Astyanax mexicanus: one gene and its partner. The protein of the gene in region 1 interacts with the protein of each later gene in a pairwise test. Links are inferred from orthologs where the notes say so. Each region holds a gene or a part of one and is shown on either strand. Other genes may lie near its edges.

Region 1 (7,806 bases):
CAAAATAGACCTTGAATTTTTTTTTTTGTAAGTTTTGCTAAAATGAAAAAACACCAGAGATCTTTTGTTTTAGCTTCCTATAGAACACTGCACTGACCTGGACAATAAGACACTAATTCTTTGTATTGCGATAAATTTGTTATTACAATATATGGTGTGAGTATATTGTTGTATATTTCATCAATGTCTAAAATTCACACTGATCATGCTGTATTCACACGCTGCTCTTTTTTTTACAGAGAGGATATTTAGTTAAGTTTAATTGTATAAAGCGCAGCACATGTTGAATAAAAATAATTCCTGTATTTAAATGATGTTTAAGAATCTGCTGCTACTAATGCAATTTATCCATTATTATATGATAAAAAAATAAGATGAAGTATTGCTCAGCCCTGCCTCTAAAGTCACAGACTTGCTTATTTATTTATTTATACACCAGAGAACAACTTAAAGCACTCAATAAATGCCTTCTTTGGCACCTTTAAGAGTGATTGGCATTTTATGGGCATGCCCTCAGGTCAGCTCTGGTGTCTGGTGTGAATCAGAAGCTGTGAATGAGAGGCCAGACGGATCGGAAGCTGTGAATACAAAGCCGAACTCAGCCCTCTGAAATGAACTCTCGATAATCTAACAGCCATGTGTGGGTCGTTGTAGGTTTCGGAAGGAGGGATCAGGTTCCCCTCGCCATGCTTTCAGGGTAAAGGAGAAGGTGAGCAGGCTTCGTACGTGTGCAGCTGCGAGGAGCTCGGCTTTCTGCCCTCAGGAGTTTACAATCTGTTTGTCTAAGGGTTAAAAATATCTGAAGACGTCTCTTCTGTCGTCTCACGGCTGGATTCGGCAGGTTTGCTTCAGGTCTACTTAGAGCCAGGGCTGTTTAGGGGGCTGCGCTCAGTGGAGTTGAAATCAGTTTGAGTGTAATTGGGTTGAATAAGTCCAGACAGACTCAGGGTCAAGGTGGACCTGGATTGTTAAAATTAGATACTCAGATGTCTGTGATTTTTTTTATGGCATTAATATAATAAGCAGGACATTTTATCATTACTTGCACTTGTTCCTATTTCTTTTCTCCTCCTCCAAAGAGTTTTCCGCTGCAGCTCCAGAGTCAGGATGACCCTTCTGAACGAATTGGAAGTTTCATCCAGGAACTGTTCAAACTCTGCTGACAACAGGAACGATCTGAGATGGGATCTGAGCCCAGAGCAGATCAAACACAGGACGGAGAGGCTGATCCAGCGGATAAAGCAAGCCTACGACTCGGTTGGTTCGGTGGAGATTGGTAAAGTGTGTGCTGACAACACTCTGCAAATCCTGGCAGATGCTAAACTGGATTACGCTGGTGAGTCGATACAGATTAAAATCACTATTTGGTCGAGCTGTACAGTATACAATATACAAATATCTTTCGCGCTATAAGGCACACTTAAATTTGGGCTCTCCTAATGGAAGAGGCCAAATTTAGCCTGGTCACAAGCTGACCCTACATAGTGCATGTTGAGGTCAGTTTGAAAGACTGATGGTGGCCCTTGATGGACCTTCAAATGTCCCAGATAGGTATCTGGGGAGCTGGAGCTGCTTCAGCTAATCCAGGTGTGTAAAATTCTAAACCTCTCAAAAAGGTTAAGAAGAAATTATTCCAAAATTTCCCCTCTGGGATCAATAAAGTATCTATCTATCTAAAATAATTTAATTTCCCCCAAAATTGACAATGCGCCATATAATCCGGTGCACTTTATGTATAAATTCTACCAGTAAGGTTGTAAGCAGCAGTAAAGCCACTCTGCTGAAGTACAGTGTTATTAAAGACAAAAGAGCTTCATTGAAGTTTCTCCAGCACCAAGGCTGGAGCAGTATAAGCGCAGCGCTGGCTCTTTAACCGTTCAGAGGTGAGTACATCAGACTGTAGTCGGCGTGTTTAACATGTTAAAAACAAACTGTGTCGCACAAATCGCTAGCTGATAGAGCCCTGGCCAAATCCACCCGAGATCCTATGTAAACCTAGTTCTTTACACTGAGGTGGGTACTCAAGGTCCAGAAAGTAAAAATCCACCCCGGGGTTTTGTTGGCTGAGTCGCAGCAGAGCTGTCCAGGCAGTTGGATTTTTACTTTTAACTAGTGTAAACAGAACTGTTCTTAAAATACATGGCTTACCAGGACAATCAGGGTTCCTCAGTGTAGCGCTGACGAGCGGCATTAGCCATTAGCCATAGCTAGCGCTAGCCGTTAGCTGCCAATTATCCATTAATGAACTTAAGTTCTTTACTCACCCAAAAAGAGTTTTTTTAGGAGTGAAATCTGTGTAGATTAACATCCAGCGCTCGTCTGACTTTAAAAAGATTTTTTTTTTTTTAAGAATTAGTTACAGTTCAGCTTGCCCATTAGAAGTGAAACATGGCGACACCCCTGTTCCTTACTAGTGTGGAAAATGGTGCACCTTATAGTGCGTAAAATACAGTATATTTCTCCATACTGATAAACATAGTTCCCTAATGGTGGAACAGACTACCTTCTACCCTTCTACTACCAGAGCAGGGGCATTTTTCGCTATCTTTAAGAAACTCCTAAAGACAGAGCTCTTCAAAGAGCACCTACTCTCCTAACACCTCTAACAAACTAACTACTTCTAATCTCAAAAATGTACATCAATATTTGCAAGTCGCTTCGGACAAAAGCGTCCGCGAATTATAATATAATGTAATGTAAACCAATCAAGGCATTTATAACAGCAGATTGAATCCCAGCTTCAGCAACCTACGAGATTGCCGAGCAGGATCTACAGGCCCAGCTGCAACATCTGTTGGGAAATCTCTATACCTCTAAACCCCTATATCCAACCGTATCTCATCTTGTGTCCAGGCTAGAAGCTCCCAACAGTGTGCTATTTATATTATTTATTATTTAGTATTTATATTATGGTGGAATTGTAGTATATTATAGTTCTAACCTTCTTCAGTGATGCGTCTGCAGCTTCCCGCCATGTGCTGGACTTCCCGCAGTACGTGTCCCCGTGCAAAGAGGTGCGATCTGCAAGCACTGAGGCTGACAAGCGCCTGTCGGAGTTTGATGTGGAGATGAGCATGAGAGCAGACGTGTTCCAGAGGCTTGTAGCCCTGCAGGTAAGAGCAGACACGCTGAAGTGAGTCTCCAGGGAATTTACTGCCCTTTTAATTACCTTGTTATGAACAATCCAACTGTGTCTCTGGGGTTCACTTGGGTTCAACATGGGGATGAGCATGAGGGCAGATGTGTTCCAGAGGTTCATCATAAACCTTCAGGTGAATCCAGAGAGTTTAACATGCAGTATAAAGATCTGTTATGTTCCATACAGCCCTTATGAGAGTTTTTAAACATTCAATAGGAAAGCAGATAAGCATGGTATTTAGATAGATAACCAAGCATTTATTGGACCACCTGGGATGCCAGCTTCTGCAGCCTACTACTGTTCAGGATCTAAAGATTTATTTCGGATGCCCAACAGGGTACTATAGTGTCATTTCAGTTCACATTGTATTGTTTTCCCCAATAAACATACCGTTTTTTTCGCACTATAAGGTGCACCGGATTATAAGGTGCATTATGTGACACTAGTAAGGAACAAAGGTGTCGCCATGTTTTTCTTCTAATTCAGCAGGTCTCGCCACCCAGCAAAAGCTTAGCTTAGTTAAAGCAGCACTAGGTAGGATTTCCTTGATTTTTTTATATTTTTAAAGAAGTAAAATTACAGCTTGAAACTCACTGCAGCGCTGCATTGAGGTGTAATAGGAGGAATAGCGGTGCTCTTGTGTCTGTGCCGGAGCTTCTCTGAGCTCAAACCAGACTCTGTAAGTTTTCTGAGGCGGCCGCGACCAACGCTCGCGAGAACTGCAACCTGCTTTCAGACCTTTAGTTCTAACAGTTCTACAAGGACTACTGGTTCATTCTTTACAAACTAACATACAAACACTCTGACAGAACCTGGAAAGAGACCGAATATGTCTGTGAAAGCCAGTAAAACTAAGCCGACTGATACATTTATTACACTCTACAACTGTAGGGGGAGCCCACGAGCACAAAATCTCAATCCTACCTAGTGGAGCTTTAGGTAAACAAAACTGTAATTCTTTAAAAATATATATTTTAAGGTCAAACATGCACTGTGTTTCTTTTCTGAAAACGGTTTATTTGGGTGAGTAAAGCACTTTCATTTATTTACAGTACGCTTAGATTTCCAGATTTCCTCTTAAGGCTGTGTGCAGCAGCATTAGCATTAGCAGCTAACCACTAGCGCTAGCCACTGAGGAAACCTGTTTTCCGGTAAGCCAGGGCGATATTAGCTAGCGGTTCGTCCCACGTAGCTTGTTTTAACACGGTAAACGCGCAGACTACAGAACGATGATACTCACCTCTGAACGATGAAAGAGCTAGCATTTAGCATGGTTAGCTGCTAATGCTAATACTTCTTTAGCCTCAGTGCTGGAGGAATAAACTGAAACTCCTGTATAATGCTGCACTTCAGTAGAGTGGCTTTACTGCTGCTTAATACCTGACTGGTAAAATTCATACATAATGCATACTGTCAGTTTTTTTTCTAAATTAAAGGATTTTAAGTGCGCATTATAGTGTGAAAAATACGTTATCCTTTCACTCTTCTATTGTTTTCACTTACATACACATAATTATTATATTTGCACATATAAAGTTATATTTAATTCCAACAACTCTTTCTTCTTCTCTCACTTCTTTCTGTACATTTCATGCATTGGTGTATTTAGGCAGTTTATAGTTTGTTGCTGTTTTATAACGCATAAAATCTAACAGCTCTCTATAACCTTGGCAGAGCTACAGCTAAACACACATACTGTGTGTCTCATGCTCTGTTAGCTCTGCTGCTATAAGAACAGAAGCGTTTTGTGTGTGTGTGTGGTTTATGTTATGAGATGCCCTCTGCTTCCCTGTGCTTTGATATGAGATCGCATTCTCTCTCCTGGGTATTTACTGCCCTTTTAATTGAGTTCTCATGAACAGCCCAACAAATGTCACTGGGGTTTGTAAGGGCTGGAAATGTTTCCACTCTCAGAGAAATATCTGACCTCAGTAACTCCAGCGAGAGGAGCATGGTTGGCTTCCTGACAAAAGCTCAGCTCTATTCTCTGAGGAGGGCAGGGTGTACAGTGATAGCACAGCAGTTTGTATGAAGAGTTAATATAATGACTAAAACAGTCTGTGTGTGTATTTATTTCCTTTATTTATAGGAAAGACAACCCAACAGTTTATCTCCAGAGTCTAAAAGATTAATGGAGAGATGGATCAAACTCGGGAGACGGAATGGGCTGCACCTGTCTGCACAAGTACAAGAAGTGAGTATATAATAGTAAAATAGATCCGTTTCTTGCTGTAGATGAACACTAAATGAATTTACACTTTTGCAGTGGGTTACATTTAGTTGCAGTGGGTTGCATCTTTCTGCACTACAGCAGAATCTAACAACCACAGAGCTCAAACCATCTAATTGCAAAATTGAAACAAAAACGTGAAATTTGACTGAATTTTAACTGCCTGTTCTGTGATTTGAGATGGCATTAAATAGATACTACACATTTTTAAAAGCATACAGTATCACTCAAAGGTTTGGACACAACTTCTCAATCAATTTTTCAATTTTATTTTTTTTCTACATTAAAACAAATAATTAATTCATCCAGGCTATGAAGGAACACATTAAAAGTATCTTAAAAGTGTTAAACAAACCAAAATAATCTTTAAAGCATTGAGGTGGTTGGTAACTTGTGGTTTCTGAGGCTGGTAACTCTGATTAAACTAATCCTGTACAACAGAGGAAACTCTGATCTTCCTTTCCTTCACTGGCCAGTTTTATCTGAACATTTAAGACGATCTTTTTAACTGCACTTGAAGTTCCTTTAAAGTTCTGGATTTTTGCTGGATTGACTGACCTTGTCTTAAAGTATTTTTTCTTTACTTAGTTAAGAAGTTTTTGCCATAATTTGGATTAGAATATTACTCTAATAGAGCTATTCACTGTACACCAACTCTACCTCTTCGCAACTTCACAACTGATGCTCTCAAACACATTACTAAGAGACAAGAAATTCAAGTAATTAACTCTTTACGAGTTCAGCACAGCTGTTAACTGAAAGCCTGAATTCCAGGTGAGAAAATACTAAGATTTGCAAAGCTGTGAAACAATCTAAAATATAAAACAAAATCTGGGATTCTGCTCATTTGGATGACTTTAGTTTTAATCAACAATGCATAACATTTTAAAATAATGAAAAAACACTGAATTTAAGGTTTGTCCAAACTTTTGACTGGTACTGCATATGTCCAGTAGGTTCATTGACACCTTTTCTAATGTACATTGTACATTGTTGGACAATGAAACTGAAACACCTGGTTTTAGAGCACAATAATTTATTGTGGCGACGGACAGTTCTGGTGGAAACAGGAGTTGAGGTGCACATTGAATTCTGCCGTGAATTGAGCAGCCGTGGTTTTATGTTTTTTGGAACAATCCTGGTTAACACCCGAACATCCCTTTCAGACAGCTTCCTCTTACAGCATCCACAGTTAATCCTGTTGGATGTGGTTGGTCCTTCTTGGTGGTATGCTGACATTACCCTGGATACCGTGGCTCATGATACATCACAAAGACTTGCTGTCTTGGCCACAGATACGCCAGCAAGACGTGCACCAACAATTTGTCCTCTTTTGAACTCTGGTATATCACCCATAATGAGCAAAACTGTGCTCTTACCCTGCTAATTGAACCTTTACACTCTGCTCTTACTGCTACAATGTGCAAAGTATAGATTGGCCACCAGGCTGCTCCAGTTTAGCCATGAAACCACCCTCACTAAAGTGACAGGTGTTTCAGTTTCATTGTCCAACCCCTGTCATTTAAGTTGCACCAATTGCTAAAACAGTCCCTGTAGAGAAGTACTGCCAATACATAAGGACGAAGATAAACATGATCCTGTTGGCACCGTGTCTAATGCCAAGTGCGGGCTAGAGAGACATATCTGAACCCCAGCATTGAGCTGTGGAGCAGTGGATCTGTTGTGTGGTATTTTTGGGATGAGTTTTGGAGTTGACGATGAGGTGGAGCAGGTGGTGATCATCCAACATCCTGTCCTCACTAATATTCTTGTCGCTGAATGCATTCAACCCCCCCTTGCACCTTTTAATACACTCTATAGATGGACAAAAGTACTGGGACACTCTCATTCTCTCTTTCTTCCATGTCATGAGCATCAGTTTGGCCAGGCTTCACAGCTTAATGGTGGTAGGCGTGTCCTATTCTTTTGACAAGGCATGTCAAGCTGTGTTAGCAATGGGTGCAACATAAAATATTTTTCGCACTATAAGGTGCTAAGTGCTATCTCTTTCGCCGTTCAGAGGTGAGTATTATCAGCATGTAGCCTGTTGCAAACCCCGACTAGCACTGCTGGAGCAGAATTAGCATTAGCCACTAACCTAAGCGCTAAGAGTTAGCCCTTTCACCGTTCAAAGGTGAGTATATCAAACTGTAGCCTGCATGTTTACTGTGTTAATACAAACTACATGGGACAAACCGATAGCTAATATCATCTTACCAGAACAATCAGGGTTCCTCAGTGTACCGCTGTCAGGAGGCATTTACAAGCGCTAACCATGGCTAACGCTAAAGCTGCTGCACCCAGCCTTAGTGGAAATCTGGAAATCTTAGATCTTTACTCATCCAAATAAACAGTTTTCAGGAGAGAAATCTGTGCAGATTAACAACCAGCGCTTGTTTGACTTGAATTTATTATTATTTTTTTTTAAGAATTACAG
Region 2 (6,924 bases), on another chromosome or scaffold:
ACATAGTTATATGAAGTGGTAAAGCTGGAGACAAACAAGCAACAGAGCAGTGTTGCATAAAGGCTCTTCGCTGAACCCAAACTGCGGTTTAGTTTAATAGATTTTCCAAAGCAGCCTTGGTCGGTTGCCATGGATAAGATGAGTCCTCCTCCAGCTAAAGGGAGTTCCCATGTGCATCTGAAATGTGAATCAGGTGGGCGTACCACTGGGGTCTGAATCTGTGGTTCCATATTTTTCCATTCACTCCATATGGAATGTAGCAAACTCAGTGGAGGAGGTGGGCAGTGATGACTGCAGATGCTAAAATTAGCCTAATGGCTTCATGAATGGAGACCGAATGAGATAAACTCATATGCACATGCCTTATACATGTTGCAAATGACAAATAGACCAGAAAATAATTACTTTCTGTGACATTGTTGTGGGATTCTAGTAATATAAAAACTGAGACAAACAATTAGACGCTAATGAAACACCAACATGTAATAGACCATGACCTCATACCTTCGTAATTATATTGGCTCTGTTTTGTCACTTGAGTGTCTAGTCTCTCCTAAGTGTTCTGTCATCATGCTGGCAGACTTTTTATAAACAGAGATTCCAATAAAAGTGGGACACGTTTACTGAAGTTACTAAACCTCTTTAATCTAAGAGTAAAATTAGTGCTGTTCCAACACTACAGTGTGTCACCATGCCCTCCATACAGTACACATACAGTTTTACTCTTACAAAAAGTTTTTTAAAAAAAGAGCTCATTAAAGTAAATCTCCTGAAGATCCGTATTTGATACCCTAATAAATCTTCCAGCACGTGGTTACAATTCGATAAAAGGGAGAAGAGCTGAATAAATATATTCATAAGCTATATATAATAAAAAAAAACTACCTATATTGCTTGTGTCAGCACCCTGGTTGCTGCGTATAATATGGCAATTGGACCATATTGCTTGTGTCAACACTGTGATTGTCAATTATAATATGTTAATTGGACTGTATAGCTTGATTGCTGATTATAATACAGCAATCGGTCTGCACCACTTGTGCCAATACCCGGCTGCTGAGTATAATACAGCAATCTATCAGAGGAGCTTGTCTCAAACAACGGTTCCTGTGTATAATACAACTGTTGGCTCAAGAAGCTTGTGCCAAAACCCCGGTTGTTGTGCATAATACGATGAGTGCCTCTTTTTACAACTCGCTGGATGCTGTGTATAAACTGCAGCCCTTGACTTGACTACCTGGTTTATCTTTTGGGCAAATCTGGTACCTGATACCTGAAAGTTAGTGCTTTTACTCCTGCATGCTTGTGGTTTCAAGCGAGCTGAGTAGGGACTAAACTGTGATATATTAAAAAAATATGTGTGCTGATTTGGCCAGAGAGAACATTCACTCTAAACTGCGCAATGCAGATATCTAGCAGCACAAAATTTCCAAGCAACATTAGCAATCACATTTGTTTTTATCTGTCTCGCAATGGCAGTTTGTAAAATTATGCTGTTATCTTTAGAAAAGGATAAAAATATATATTTGGATTGGTGGCTGACATAATTATACATTGAGAGTTGCGAAAAACATTGCAGGGGGAGGTGTGTTAAAGGAAAATTAACCAGAAACCAGGTACCAAAAAGCAAAAAAGTAGATAACCACCACATGATAGTCCAGTAGATAACCACCACATGATGTAACTTCAATGTATACTGTTCTACAGTGCATAGCAAAATCTAACTAGTATATATGGCACAGGAAAAAAAAAAACATGTTGGTTTTCTAATAACTCAAAAGTGTATGAATCTTAAAAAGCTGTGTGAACATTTAAGACATTCAATTTAAGGAGATTTAAGATTTAAAGAAACCATCACATCACGTAAATGTTCTAAAATATTTTAAAGTTGATTTATAAAACTGTTAGGACTGTTAAAGGAAGCTTTTTGGTAATGTTTATGGTACAATCCTTAAAATATTGATGAAAAATCAATTCCAAATTAGTATCTTTCATTAAACAATGAAAAATAATAGCTTAAAAAGTCTTTATTTTAATGTAATGTTTCCTTTATACATTTTATCTTCTTTCTGCATCTTCAGGTACAGACATATCGAGTCATATGAGGCATGTTGATATCATCGTATCATAGCCGGCTGGTGTAAATGTGAAACACAGCCGCTCTCCCTCTTTTATATTCCTCCTTTTACTCTCGTCTCTCTGTCGCCAGACGCTCAGTCATCTGTAGAACTTGGGGCATGCAGCTCAGTCCGTGAGCATGCCCCATGGAATGCTGGATCTGTAGTTCCAAATATGGCAGTGTGATGTGTCATTTTCACCAGAGGGGCCCACTGGTGAATTTTGGCTTTGACTGATGTTCTTGATTAGGCCACATAAGAAGAAAGGATTTTGGTTGTGTTTCCTTTCAGGTCCTCTTCTCATTAGGGGTTCCGGGTTCATGCCTCTAATGAGCAAGCCAAGGATGAGACATTGGAAAACTCAACCAGAGCCAAAAAAAGAAGAGTCAAAGGGAGAAGCCATCCTCCTATTGTCAGAAACAGATAACACAAGAGGAGCAGGTGGAGTTAAGATAAGTATTATTCTATAAATGTCACAGACAGATTAATATGGAAATAACCAGTTGGTCAATTGCTAATTTTAGAAGCATATTAGAGGTTATTTAAAAAAATAGAGTTTAAATGAATGATATTTGTAAGATCTGTGCCCTCTTTAATGTGTTTAAGAGCATCAGTTGTAAAGTTGTGAAGAGGCAAACAGTTGGTATACAGTGAATGATGCTATTTAAGTAATGTTCCAATCCATATTATGGCAGGAACTACTCAACTAAGAAAACAAAAAATCCTTTAAAAAATATTCCAAGAACTCCAAAAGTACCCTCAAGTGCAGTCGCAAAGACTATCAAAAACATTATGATGAAACTGGCCCTCATCAGGACAGCCCCAGGAAGGTAAGACCAAGAGTTACCTCTGTTTTACAGGATAAGTTAACATCATGCCAGAAAAGAGCACCTAAATGGTTCACAGAGTATTTTGGTTCGTTTAACACTTTTAAGTTACTAAATGATTCCTCATGTGTTCCTTCATAGTCTGAATGACTTCAGTATTCATTTACAATGTTGGAAAAAGAAGGTGTGTCCAAACCTTTAACTGGTACTGTATAAACAAATGTAAAGTGTAATAAAAAATAAAATAATAAAAATATATTAGTAGTAATAAAAAATAAAAATTAAAGAATGTGTAAAAATAAACATATTTAAAATAATTGTACAATTTCTATATGAATTTGGCAATGGTCAGTGCCTTTTTAAACAAGTTATGTATGATATAGTTTGATGTGGTTTAAGTAGTCAACTCAGAAAGTATGAGTGGTGTATGCATCACTACATAAACAAAAAATATCCAAACCAACAGCACCCTATGGACAGAGTAGACCTAGATCATTAATATCCCCCACTTTGTTTAGACAGAGCATTTCATTGTTATTATAAAACTCTGCATTTTTATTAAAACCAGACCCATCTATTTTCACTAGTCTCGCACTGGGGCACTGAGGCTATATTAGTGTGTAGTGTAACACAGTGCGTGGGTGAGTGAGTGGGTTTGTAATTTAATTAGCAAACACTCTCAGAGCGTTCACTGAGTCTAAACTGCTGCCAAATCCTGTCAAAGTCAGCAGCGGAGCTCCCTGGGGGGAACAGCATGACTCGGTTTAGTTGAGTCTGTTGAAGAAGAGAGAAAATCGTGTTTGAGTGTGAGTGTGTGTGTGTGTGTGTGTGTGTGTGTGTGTGTCTGTGTGAAACAGAGCGCAGGAGTAGGGGTGGCTCAGGCTGGAAAAGCAGACAGAGATGACTTCATAACTTCCGTTCCGCATTTAGGGGGAGGGGTTCTGGGTCCTGAGTTCTTTAAAAAGAGAAGAGAGGCAATTGCTCGTTCAGTCCATGCTGGATAGGCACAAGGAGAAGGCACATCTACAAGCTTAGATCCACTGAGACTACTACTTCCAGACTTTCAGGTATGGGTTATGGTTTGCTTGCACTTTTTGGACAAAAGTTGTTTTTTTTAGGCTTGATTTTCATTGTGTAGAAAATGTTATATGGGGATAATTGTGTTGTCAAACTTGTAGAGTAAAATCTTTTCTTGTATTTTTTATTTTTGAACTTTGTCTTGTAGTTTTATATTCAAGTCACCTTAAAATTAAAAATCCAAATTTAGGCTACAGATCAAGGACTTATGTTTTAGAGCTAGGGGTACTGTATTGGCTTTGTCAAGAGATTACCTCCACTAAAATTTCTTCAAAAAGTATTGTGACAATAGTTGACGCAGTTGTTGTTGACTCCATGTAGACTTTCCATATAAAAAGCCACTTGAGTTTAAGGCTATTTAACTTGCCATGTTAAAATATGCCAGTGTATTGCAACTGATTTTATAATATAGATATATAATAATGTACAAAATCTTGGTTTTACAAAGCTTGGTAATTGTCGGAATAGGTCACGTAGCTAGGTGTGTTCATTTTAGCGGATTCGTGAATAGACCTGCAGAGAGATGGAAAGGTGACTCAAGGTAAGCATTTAGGAACAGCAGCACTGAATTTACATTGTGGGTGTTTAAGTACATAGAGAAGAATACGTGCCTTTCAGACACACTTATGAGCTCCTTCAGGTCTGTCTGAGTGTGATGGCTACTGGCGTCAACCACTTTTGGTTGTGAGGGAGTTTAATAGCTTAAAACGGTGATTGTAGCAGATGCCAAGGACAGGATTAAAGGACAGGAAGCGCCACATTAGATATGGGTGAATTATGCTGTTGATTCCAGTACAGCTTAAGGCACTAAATATAGTGTAGTAGTACCACATGTTCATTCATTCATTCATTTACTCATTGTGGTTCATTTATTCATGAATTAACTGATTAATTCAGCATGTTACTCAAACAGTATGTCTAGATTTCATATTCTTATCCATTCTCTCCTTATGCAGAATGCAGACACTCTGTGTACTGATGACCCTTGCCTTTTATGGGTCAGCGATGGGCACCTTCCTGCAGAAGCAGCAGACGGATTTTGGACTGCGGCTGTTCTCAGAAGCTGCTCACTCCCATCAAGATGAAAACTTTGCCATGTCACCCTACGGCATCTCCTCCGTGATGGGAATGGTCCAGCTGGGAGCTTATGGCAGCACTCTAAAGACACTCAAAGAGCACATGGGCTATTCTCTGCAAGGTAAGAATGGAGGGAAAATTGTTTTTATGCACCAAATAAATGGATTTTCCCTGATTCCAATCCAAGAATTATATAGAAACCTATAATTTCTGTACTTTCTCCAGATCGTGGAATGCCACGACAACAGAGGCTTCTTCACAGAGACCTGTCCAGTGAACACGGAGTGGAGGTGGCTAGTGGCGTCATGGTGGACAGAAAGCTGATGTTGGAGAAGCCCTTCCGACGCAGCCTTACAAAAGCATTTCAGAGTGTCCCTCACCAGGTGGACTTTAGCAAGCCAAAGACTGCCCAGCAGGTCATCAACGCCTGGACGTCAGACAGAACCGGAGGTGTGTGTGTGCTTTTTTTTTCCTTTTGTGTGAGACTGTGTATGTGTTTGTGCAATTATAAATGATAATGAATTTAGATAATTTTTTTATAATGTGTTTTTTGATGTTATTTGTCAATTGTAATTAAATTGAAACCAGCCTTTCATTTTTCAGAGTGTGATGATTAACTCTACCTTATTAGAATCTTTTGTTTGTCTTGTTTTTATGATTAAATGGTTCCGTTTGAAAGATTATGTCAGAGTACACTGTGTACATGTGGAGATCTCACGTGCTACTGAACAAGTCCTGAACTCTGCCCTCTCTCTTCTCTCAGGCATGATTCCAAACTTCCTGCCGTCCGGACTTCTGAGTCAGCAGACTCGCTTGGTGCTGTTAAACGCGCTTCACTTTCACGGCCTCTGGATGACACCCTTCGACCCCAGCCTGACCATGGAGATGATGTTCCATGGTCCTAATGGTAGCACACTGCCAGTGCCAATGATGAGAACCACCAATAAATTTAACTACGGTGAGAATGTAATGGAATTAGTGTAATGTAATGTTTTGGGTGTGACCAATTAAATTGGCTTATTTTAAGGTTTCATGAATTTACTTGCAGAATTCCTGTTGATCCTTATAATGCTGTTTATTTTTTTTCATAATGAAACTTAAATTCTAATTTAGTCAGAAAATCTTTGTTTATCAAAACAATTGCAGTGTAATTTTTTTGGCCAAAAACATTATTTAAGCTAATATTTTATATCAGTCCAGCCTTAGTAATGATTATTGGATGAATGAATGAATGAATGATTAAGAAATACATTGATATATAAGCTCTAATATTTATACAGCTATTGCCATTGTTTTAAATATTGCCTGTCTCATCCTCCAGGTGAGTTTGTGACGAAGGAAGGTGTTGATTACGATGTTATTGAGGTACCCTATGAAGGAGACTCAATGAGCATGCTCCTGGTGTCTTCATTCGAAAAGGACATGCCGCTGTCTGCCCTCATCAAAGAGCTGAGTGGCAGCAAGGTCCAGGAGTGGAGAAAGAACATAAAGAAGGTCAACCGCCAGCTGGTGCTGCCCAGGTAAAGAGAATAAAACCTTTATTTTACTGACATTTACTATTTTTTGGATTCTGATTGTTAATTCTGATTATTTAGAGTCTAATACAAGTTTGCGTCAATGTTATGTCCAGGTTTTCCATTGACACAGAAGTCGATTTGAAGTCAACACTGAGCAAACTGGGGCTTGGAGACATCTTCAGCCAGTCCAAGGCAGATTTCTCACGCATTACTAGTAAGTATATGCAAGTACACATATTTTATGTCTATAAAGACCTCTGGAGTTGTTGAGAGTGAATGGAATAAAGTATTGTTTTAAAGTAATGTAAG

The links.
Region 2: the proteins of sgtb (region 1) and serpine1 interact in binary tests that used the Homo sapiens proteins (3 or more experiments, as listed by UniProt). The two-hybrid records come from large-scale screens. The link is inferred for Astyanax mexicanus from reciprocal best matches to the Homo sapiens genes SGTB and SERPINE1.

What each region holds. Positions count from the first base shown.
Region 1 is NC_064427.1:22,893,117-22,900,922, forward strand, and holds the start of sgtb (small glutamine-rich tetratricopeptide repeat-containing protein beta), read right to left. Parts: upstream 2,965-7,806; 5' UTR 2,942-2,964; intron 1,337-2,941; coding exon of another isoform or gene 1,080-1,336; intron 1-1,079. Other genes in the region: nln (neurolysin, mitochondrial), read left to right, coding at 1,080-1,336, 2,965-3,113, 5,229-5,333. UniProt on the Homo sapiens protein: Co-chaperone that binds directly to HSC70 and HSP70 and regulates their ATPase activity.
Region 2 is NC_064415.1:25,930,204-25,937,127, reverse strand, and holds the start of serpine1 (plasminogen activator inhibitor 1), read left to right. Parts: upstream 1-3,905; 5' UTR 3,906-4,011; intron 4,012-4,977; 5' UTR 4,978-4,978; coding exon 4,979-5,219; intron 5,220-5,323; coding exon 5,324-5,548; intron 5,549-5,861; coding exon 5,862-6,056; intron 6,057-6,419; coding exon 6,420-6,618; intron 6,619-6,728; coding exon 6,729-6,829; intron 6,830-6,924. UniProt on the Homo sapiens protein: Serine protease inhibitor. Inhibits TMPRSS7. Is a primary inhibitor of tissue-type plasminogen activator (PLAT) and urokinase-type plasminogen activator (PLAU).